Linked DNA regions of Arabidopsis thaliana. The protein of the gene in region 2 interacts with the protein of the main gene of each other region in a pairwise test. Each region holds a gene or a part of one and is shown on either strand. Other genes may lie near its edges.

Evidence for each region. The genes of interacting proteins can lie anywhere in the genome.
Region 1: the proteins of MYB69 (region 2) and AT2G42660 interact in a two-hybrid assay, tested with the Arabidopsis thaliana proteins (one large-scale study listed by BioGRID).

The regions. Positions count from the first base shown.
Region 1 is NC_003071.7:17,766,621-17,770,379, forward strand, and holds AT2G42660 (Homeodomain-like superfamily protein), read right to left. Parts: upstream 1,760-3,759; 5' UTR 1,639-1,759; coding exon 1,416-1,638; intron 1,331-1,415; coding exon 1,254-1,330; intron 1,174-1,253; coding exon 1,134-1,173; intron 1,057-1,133; coding exon 942-1,056; intron 849-941; coding exon 719-848; intron 628-718; coding exon 445-627; 3' UTR 430-444; downstream 1-429. Other genes in the region: AT2G42650 (Ribosomal protein L1p/L10e family), read left to right, coding at 1-28.
Region 2 is NC_003075.7:16,095,044-16,098,802, forward strand, and holds MYB69 (myb domain protein 69), read right to left. Parts: upstream 1,732-3,759; 5' UTR 1,561-1,731; coding exon 1,401-1,560; intron 1,296-1,400; coding exon 703-1,295; 3' UTR 349-702; downstream 1-348. Other genes in the region: ABCI10 (ABC transporter family protein), read right to left, coding at 3,282-3,494, 3,738-3,759.

The DNA.
Region 1 (3,759 bases), on a different chromosome or scaffold from region 2:
ATTCAAAGCTAAGACTAAGAGGAGGTGAACCAAGAAAAGAAGATTTTATATTAATGTCGTTATAACTAAGTATTCTATTCTTTCTGCTTGAGTGATTTTTTTGGATACTGATTATGACTTTGTCTTATTATGGTATCATCATCATGATTCTTATATATTTAGGACTTTTATTATCGTTTACTATTTCATCAAACTAGTGACTTGCCATGTAGTTGATTTGGTGGTTTTGACGAGGAAACATATTATTACATGTGTTTTGTTGCATTCCAGAATTGGTGTTGTATTGAATGCAGAGAAACCGCTAAGGATAAGTACTTGCAGGATCTGACTCAAGCCTGATCCAGATCCTGGCTAAGTACTCATCCCATGAAACGGCTAAGGAAAACAAAAGTCTCTACTCTTGAATCTCTTTTAAAGTTAAACTTCATCTCTCTAGTATGTTGGTTACGGTTCTGATGATGTCGACAACAGAGAGAGCGAGAGCATTGTGTTGATATCATCTGTTGGTTTTTGCCTGCAATTTCCAAACTCAGGCAACTGTATCCCACCTCCGGACATTGATTTCAATCGTTTGACTGATGATACTTCTTCATCTCGGACTCTTTTCTCATTGTTCTTCTTCCTAATCTGCATAAGATTTCACCAAGATTACAGTACCTTCCTCGGTTTTTAACAAAACTGTTCCTCTATAACTCTTAAAACGAAAGTAGGTAGTTACCTCGAGTAGAGGCAGAGTCTTGTTCTCTGTGCTGTCTCGGTCATTTCTGCATAACCCGCTAAACCAGCTCGAAGGTCGCATAAGAAAGTTACCTCCAAGATTTGTAACGACCGCGTCTTGATTGAGTACCCTACAGAAAAGAATGCAATTTTAACTTCCTTGGTCGGATCGGATATACAAATGTGAAACATTTTAGTAACTGGAACTTGTTTCTTTGTATGACCTCGAAGGAACGGTTTTAGAGTTATAGGCATGTCTTAAATCGCTATGAGGGATACATCGAGAGTCGATCATGTCCATCAAATAGCTTCTTTGTCCACTCATGAAAGCTCCAAATCCTGTTCAAAAGTCATTTCCATCAATTATGAAACCCAGTGAAGGAATGGTAAATGTCTGCGGATCAAAACTAACTTACCAGGGCGAGAAGACGGCTCGAGCTTCTTACTTCGATACATCTTGAAATCAGAAACATGAAAACATTGAAAAAGATGAACAAAACTGAGATAATCTTAGAATAACAGACGATGAAGATTACCTGTAAATGACTCTTGACATGTGCAATACTCAATCCTTTTAGATTCATCATCTCAAGAACCAATTTCGGCGTCGCTCCTTTAAAATCATACAACAATTACATTACAAAGCTGAGAGAGAGAAAGAGAGAAAGAGACGTGGAGAGAGAGAACAAGAATCCTACTGTCTGGACCGCCTAGTCGTTGGACAGCACGAACGAAGGAGAGATGAAGATCAGGCGTCCAACGAAGCCGAGGCATGTTGGACCGAATATACTGTCTAACGTTATTCGTGATTTGGTCTTCGTCTTCCACTGATGACTCTTCTTCATTGTTCTTCTCCACTGTTTCTTCTCTGTTCAGGTCAAGCCACGTGGAGCATTTTCCCGGCGAAGATCTCCCGGCCATGTCTCTCCGGCGAGAGTGTCTTTAGCTAGCTCTCGAGATCAATTACTCAAAAACAAACAAAAAAAAACCCATGAGAGAGGTTAAATCTCTATGATAATTTCGGCGTTGGCTTCAATAATACTAGCTATAATCATATATATACACTTATAAGTATATAATATAGTCTTATTTGTCGTAAACTATAGTATATAATTATATAGATATATAAAATTCTTATCTATGTCATGCATGTTTACGTATAATTGTATGTTTTTTTTTAATGGAAAAGTGTGTTGGAATCTTCCGTTTGGTGAAATCACATTAGTTATTAGGTTTTGCTTCATTTTTGTTAACATACCAGAAAAATATCCGTTTGTTCTTTTAGTGACAATGACATGTAAACTTATCTCCTTTACTTCTTAAAAATAATATCTTTCTTTAAACAAGATTTAAATATGGTGAATTTGAATATGAATTCAGATTCCAAAAACTATACCATTTCTTAAAACATCTTCTGTTTACCTAACGTGCCTTTGATATATATCATGTGACAATGGCTAGGCTATTTAAATTGGTTAATTAATCATATATTTGATATCAAGCATATTGGTTCAAATAGTCCAGTCTATATGTATACACAATTGGCAGTCGAATATTTTGTGTCATTAGAATTGTTGTTTTGTGAATGATGTATCAAACATTTCAATCCGACCAAACCACTCTTGTTTTTCTAACAATTTTCTCTTTAATAATTTCCAATTAAGTTGACCTTTGCCGGAGACTACGCTTTACCCTTTTGTCATATTAAACCACGTTTTTGAGTGTCTCCAAAACAACTTAAAAAAATAAAAATCAGATTAGCATTGGGGAACTCAAACGGAACATGAGAACTATCGATCTAAGCCGATTGATTCGAACCCTGATAGACAAAAGGTACAAACTATTGTCTACCTCTCAACCGATTACTATGTGGTGGAATGAATTACGTTTCTACGCATTTGGTTTTATCATGATGGCTATTGATCTATATTCATGTTTCTCATATACTTAGGTTAAATACATGACGGTCTTCAATCCCAACGTTTGAAAACAGAATTTAAATAAAAACTTAAGAGAGAAGGGAGTTTTGTCAAATGGTTAAGGATGTGATTCCCAAAGATTCTTGAGTTCACGTATGTACAAAACAGAAGTTGTCTTTATCTTTTTGGTTTTATTATTGGTGACCCTTTTCAATGGGCATTGGGTTACACACCTCCATATATTAGTATTTGGTTTCTCTTCGAGAATTGGCTAACTATATGTTTTTGTAGGGCTTACCAACTTACCAATCAGTATATAATTCGAGAGAGGTAACTAATAAATAATTACGGGTATATTATCTTTGAATGCAATTTTTTAATTGTTCAAATTAGGCAAAGCAACTTTCTTTCTAGAGTGCAATCTTTGTCTTTATTGTCATCTTGTGAGTTGAATTAGTATTTGTAAACATAGATAAGCTGTCGTTAATCATAAATTCTCAAAATAAGTTTCAAATCAAGAAAAATAAGTACAAACACTTTTTACAAAATTGAACCAAGTTTTATGTGAAATTAATAAGGACCTCAAACCCTACACCAAATTAATTATAAATCGTCCCGATGCAAATTTCCGACACTCTATGTCTATGCACACACATATCTATACAAGCATTTTGGAACATATATGAAAACGCGATGGGATCAAATTTCAACGCTCGTATTCATATAAACACAGCTTGAATGTTATAGAATTTCTATGAAGTCTTTTACCATGATCGCCCTCGATCTTCAAATCTAGGGTTATGGACAGATAGAGAGAGAAAGAAAGATAGGAGATGAGAGAGAAGAGAAGATAGGACAAACATTCGAAGTAATTAACTAAGATTGAAGAGAGCATTGATGGGAGAGAAGGAATCGTAGAGGCTCATGTGGGCACTAAGAAAGATGAGGAAACTTTGTTTTGTCCTAACCTGTTTACGTACCGACACTTCATTCACAATTCCTCCATTTCCCATGCTCTCTTTTTATGGAATATATAATTTCAAATTGTTTCAATAGTTCTTGAATTTCTTTAAACGACATGAATTTCTTTGGTTAAGAGAATCTTTTGTCGAGTTCTACTTCT
Region 2 (3,759 bases):
CTTGGTCAATAGATTAGTTTTTCTACATAACGACGTAACGAATTATCTTAGAATGAAAATTTGAGTTATCTGCCGTCGTTTTTTGTATAGCTAATTGGACATTGGAAATAGATGACCGCACGGTCCGCACCAAAACAAATATTATATACGTTGGTTTTCAGCAAGTCCGTAAAACAAGCACCGAGAAAATGATTTATCGTCCGTCTCTTTGGCCAACACCATGCAAGTACTTGTCTAGTGATGGTCTAATGTAACTAACGCACTAAAAATATCATATGAAATGTGATTTCTGATACAAGCTCCCATTTAGATAACAATTGTGGAATACACCGTTTTTTTTTTTTTTTTGGGTCTAAATACACTTAGAAAAGTTAGTTAGCATATCTTTCTTTGAGCATATCTTTGTGTATACGTATTTGTTACATGATTCTGTATCAAACAATAAACCATGCATGCAATATACTGATGATATAGACAAACTTATATGTGTATGTATATTCACCAATCTTAATTAAGTGCATGTGATACACGTATAGATACACACCTACATGTTATGGATATGTATATATTTGAATGATATAGGAAATGAGAGTTATAATTGATAGAAGATCCATATGAGAGTTTAAGGAAGCAAAAGGCTGAAAATGATGCCTAACCCTAATGATAGAAACCCTTAAAAGCTTTGACTTGTGATGTTATAACCTAAGAAGCTAATCCAACACCAAGAAAATCAATGAAAGTAACATCGTTCTTCTCACCATCATCTCCCATGGATGGTCCATCTTCATTTGAAGTCATCTTATGATCTGGTGTGGCTGCATGAAATGTGTAATTCTGAGGATCCACCAACTCTTTCGACTTTCTCCTCTCAAGATAAATTTCGTGGTGTACGTTAGAGACAGATGAAGATCCAAATTGACCATTCGTAGGTGGTGAAACAAAAGAGTAAGGCCAGAGACCGCAACTCTTATCCTTTCGATACCTCCATAGCCCGAAATGGGATCTATTTAGCCTTGTAAGACTAGAACTAGGGCTCAAAACAGTATGCCAAGTTTGGTTGAACGTAGAAGTAGCCGTGGAAGAGAAGTTTTCCCGTTTGCGTCTAGCCATGATGACATGAAAATGGTTTTTGACAGCGTTGTCGGTCCTCCCGGGGAACAGTCGGGCTATGGAGGCCCAACGATTCCCTTGGATCCGATGAGCTTTAAGCAGTCTCTCTTCTTCCTCCTCGGTGAAGGGTTTCTTGGTGATGTTTGGATCAAGTTGGTTGTACCATCTTAATCTACAGCTTTTCCCTATGATTCCATATTGACGCTCAATTATTTATAAAACACATAGATTTAAGTAATATGATTAGATACATATATATAAAGAAATATCAATATATATATATTGATTACCTGATCTTCCATAGAGATGTTGAGCAATAAAATTCCAGTTCTTGGGACCGTATTGTTCAACGAGTTGCCGGAGATTGTCATCTTCAACAGGTCTCCAGTGACCTCTTTGGCAACTAGGCTTCTTATTGTCAAAACTGTTGCTTCCTCTAGACATCTCCATGGATGCTATCTCTATCTCCACCGTACCTATATCAAACCAATTAGCAATTGTTGAAGAAAGAGGTATAAGATAGATTAGTCTAAGGTGAAATGATAACAAGGATGAAAATTAATACAAAGAGGAAGAAAAACAAAAAGGAATAAAAAAGAGAGGGTTGGTCTTGGTTCTCTCCTCTAGGGTTATAGATGATAAGTCACTTTTCTTCTTTTTACAAGACACCCTCTCCTTTTTATATAATATAATTATTATACCCATCTCAACAGAAACTCTTTTTTAAGAACAAACTTATACTACTTCTTTGTACTAGTTCTTGTTTCATAGAGATATACATAATACTAATACCAACATGAGCCTCTACGTACTTAAGTTATGTAGTTCTTTTTATAATCTATATATACGTGTTTGTAAATAAATACCGTTTTGAATTGCTCTAGCTAGTCCCAAAGTACGTACTTTATATTTATAGTCGTCGCGTATATATATATATATGCATCTTACTACCTACATCTTACGAGGTTATACTAATCATTTTCAAAAAGAAGCTAATGATCTTGATGCTTCTGAACTTCAACAGCTAGCTAGATTTGATCACGACCAACCTGCATTGACGATCATTCTTATTATGTTTTGTTTATTTTCCGACAATTATACTTATTATTTTCCAAAACATGTTTATTTTGTTGTATTCCACTTTACTGTTGGTACTTTCAAAGATGCAAGTAGTTGTAAATCGAATAAAAAACAAACGACAAGTCTTCTAAATATAGCAGTCATCGTCATTGGTTGCTGTAAATAAACATGGTATATGTGATATAGATATACCTTTACAAGTTAAGCATAATTTAATATTTCTGTTAACACAGAATTATGCGATTAATTTAACATGTTAGGTGGTATTGTTTGAATGATATATACCAGAATTTGAGTATAAATCTAATGTGTTAACCATCAATCATAAGAATTATATAGTATAACATGATCTCGGACCTAGAGAGAATATGAGACAAAGATGTGAATTTTTGTTATTATAAGAAAACAAATAGATTTCTGTTACAATATAGTTATCAAAATGTCTCTTTTTTTTGGTAAAAATTATCACAATGTATCTTCTTTATTTATGTAGGTCGACTCATCTAAGTAAGGCCTCAAGCCTTGTGATATTCACATAAAAGTGAAGTAACCTTTCTCAGCTTCGGTGACGAATCCACTCTGCCTTTTGTTCTAGAATCTGTTTTGTTTTCTCAAGATTTATTACATCTTGGTAATACAGGTTACTAGCGATGCCCGTGGTGAAATTCTAGCATGATTAAAGACAAGTTTGGTTTTGGTATATCACTTTGACGAAGTAAATGGTATTAGTCAAAATAGGGGGCACACAACACATAATTTAGACTTTTTTTATGTATATTATTCATATACATAGTCACACATGCACAAAACTTTCTCTCGTAACTTTTTCTTGTTTTCTATAATTTAATTATACTAATCAATACTTGGGGACGTACTTACAACCTGGAGTTTTCTCCAAACATTCTTTATTTTCCCTTTGGGAAAACAGAGGTTTACTCGTATTCAACTCTAGTTCGAGCCCTCCTAACTACATTACCCTCTGCAGAGCTATATTATCACAATTTTTCACAAATTATTAGCAAATAATCGACTTTTCATTACCTCTATATATATATAGAGGTAATAAAGAAAAAAATCCTTAGCAAAGGAAGTTAAGAACCAATTTGATCAATGTAAGACGATTGTTTGGCTTTAATGAAATCTGAGATGGTGGCTGCATCACCATGTCTGACCACTCTACCGTTCTCCATATACACAGCTCCATCCGCATACTTGAGCTCCTCTAACCTATGTGTCACCCATAATGCCGTCACATCTCCTTTCTTTGCATTTATCAGATCTTTTACAGCTTTGATCACACCCATCTGCAGAACAAAAACCCCGAGAAAACAATATGCACTGATTAAAAAAGGCGTATACGTCATAACATATCTGTCAAATTCATTTCATTTCTTCTAGATACTATATCAATTGTGCAAGTTACTCACTTCCAATGTCTACTATAACACAATCATATGTCGATGTTGAAATATTCCAGTTATGGAAGGGTTCCCTTGCAATACTAGTTGTGTTTCATTAGCACGTTGTTAGAATTAATCAAACCTTACCTGGTCAGACTCATCTAGGAAA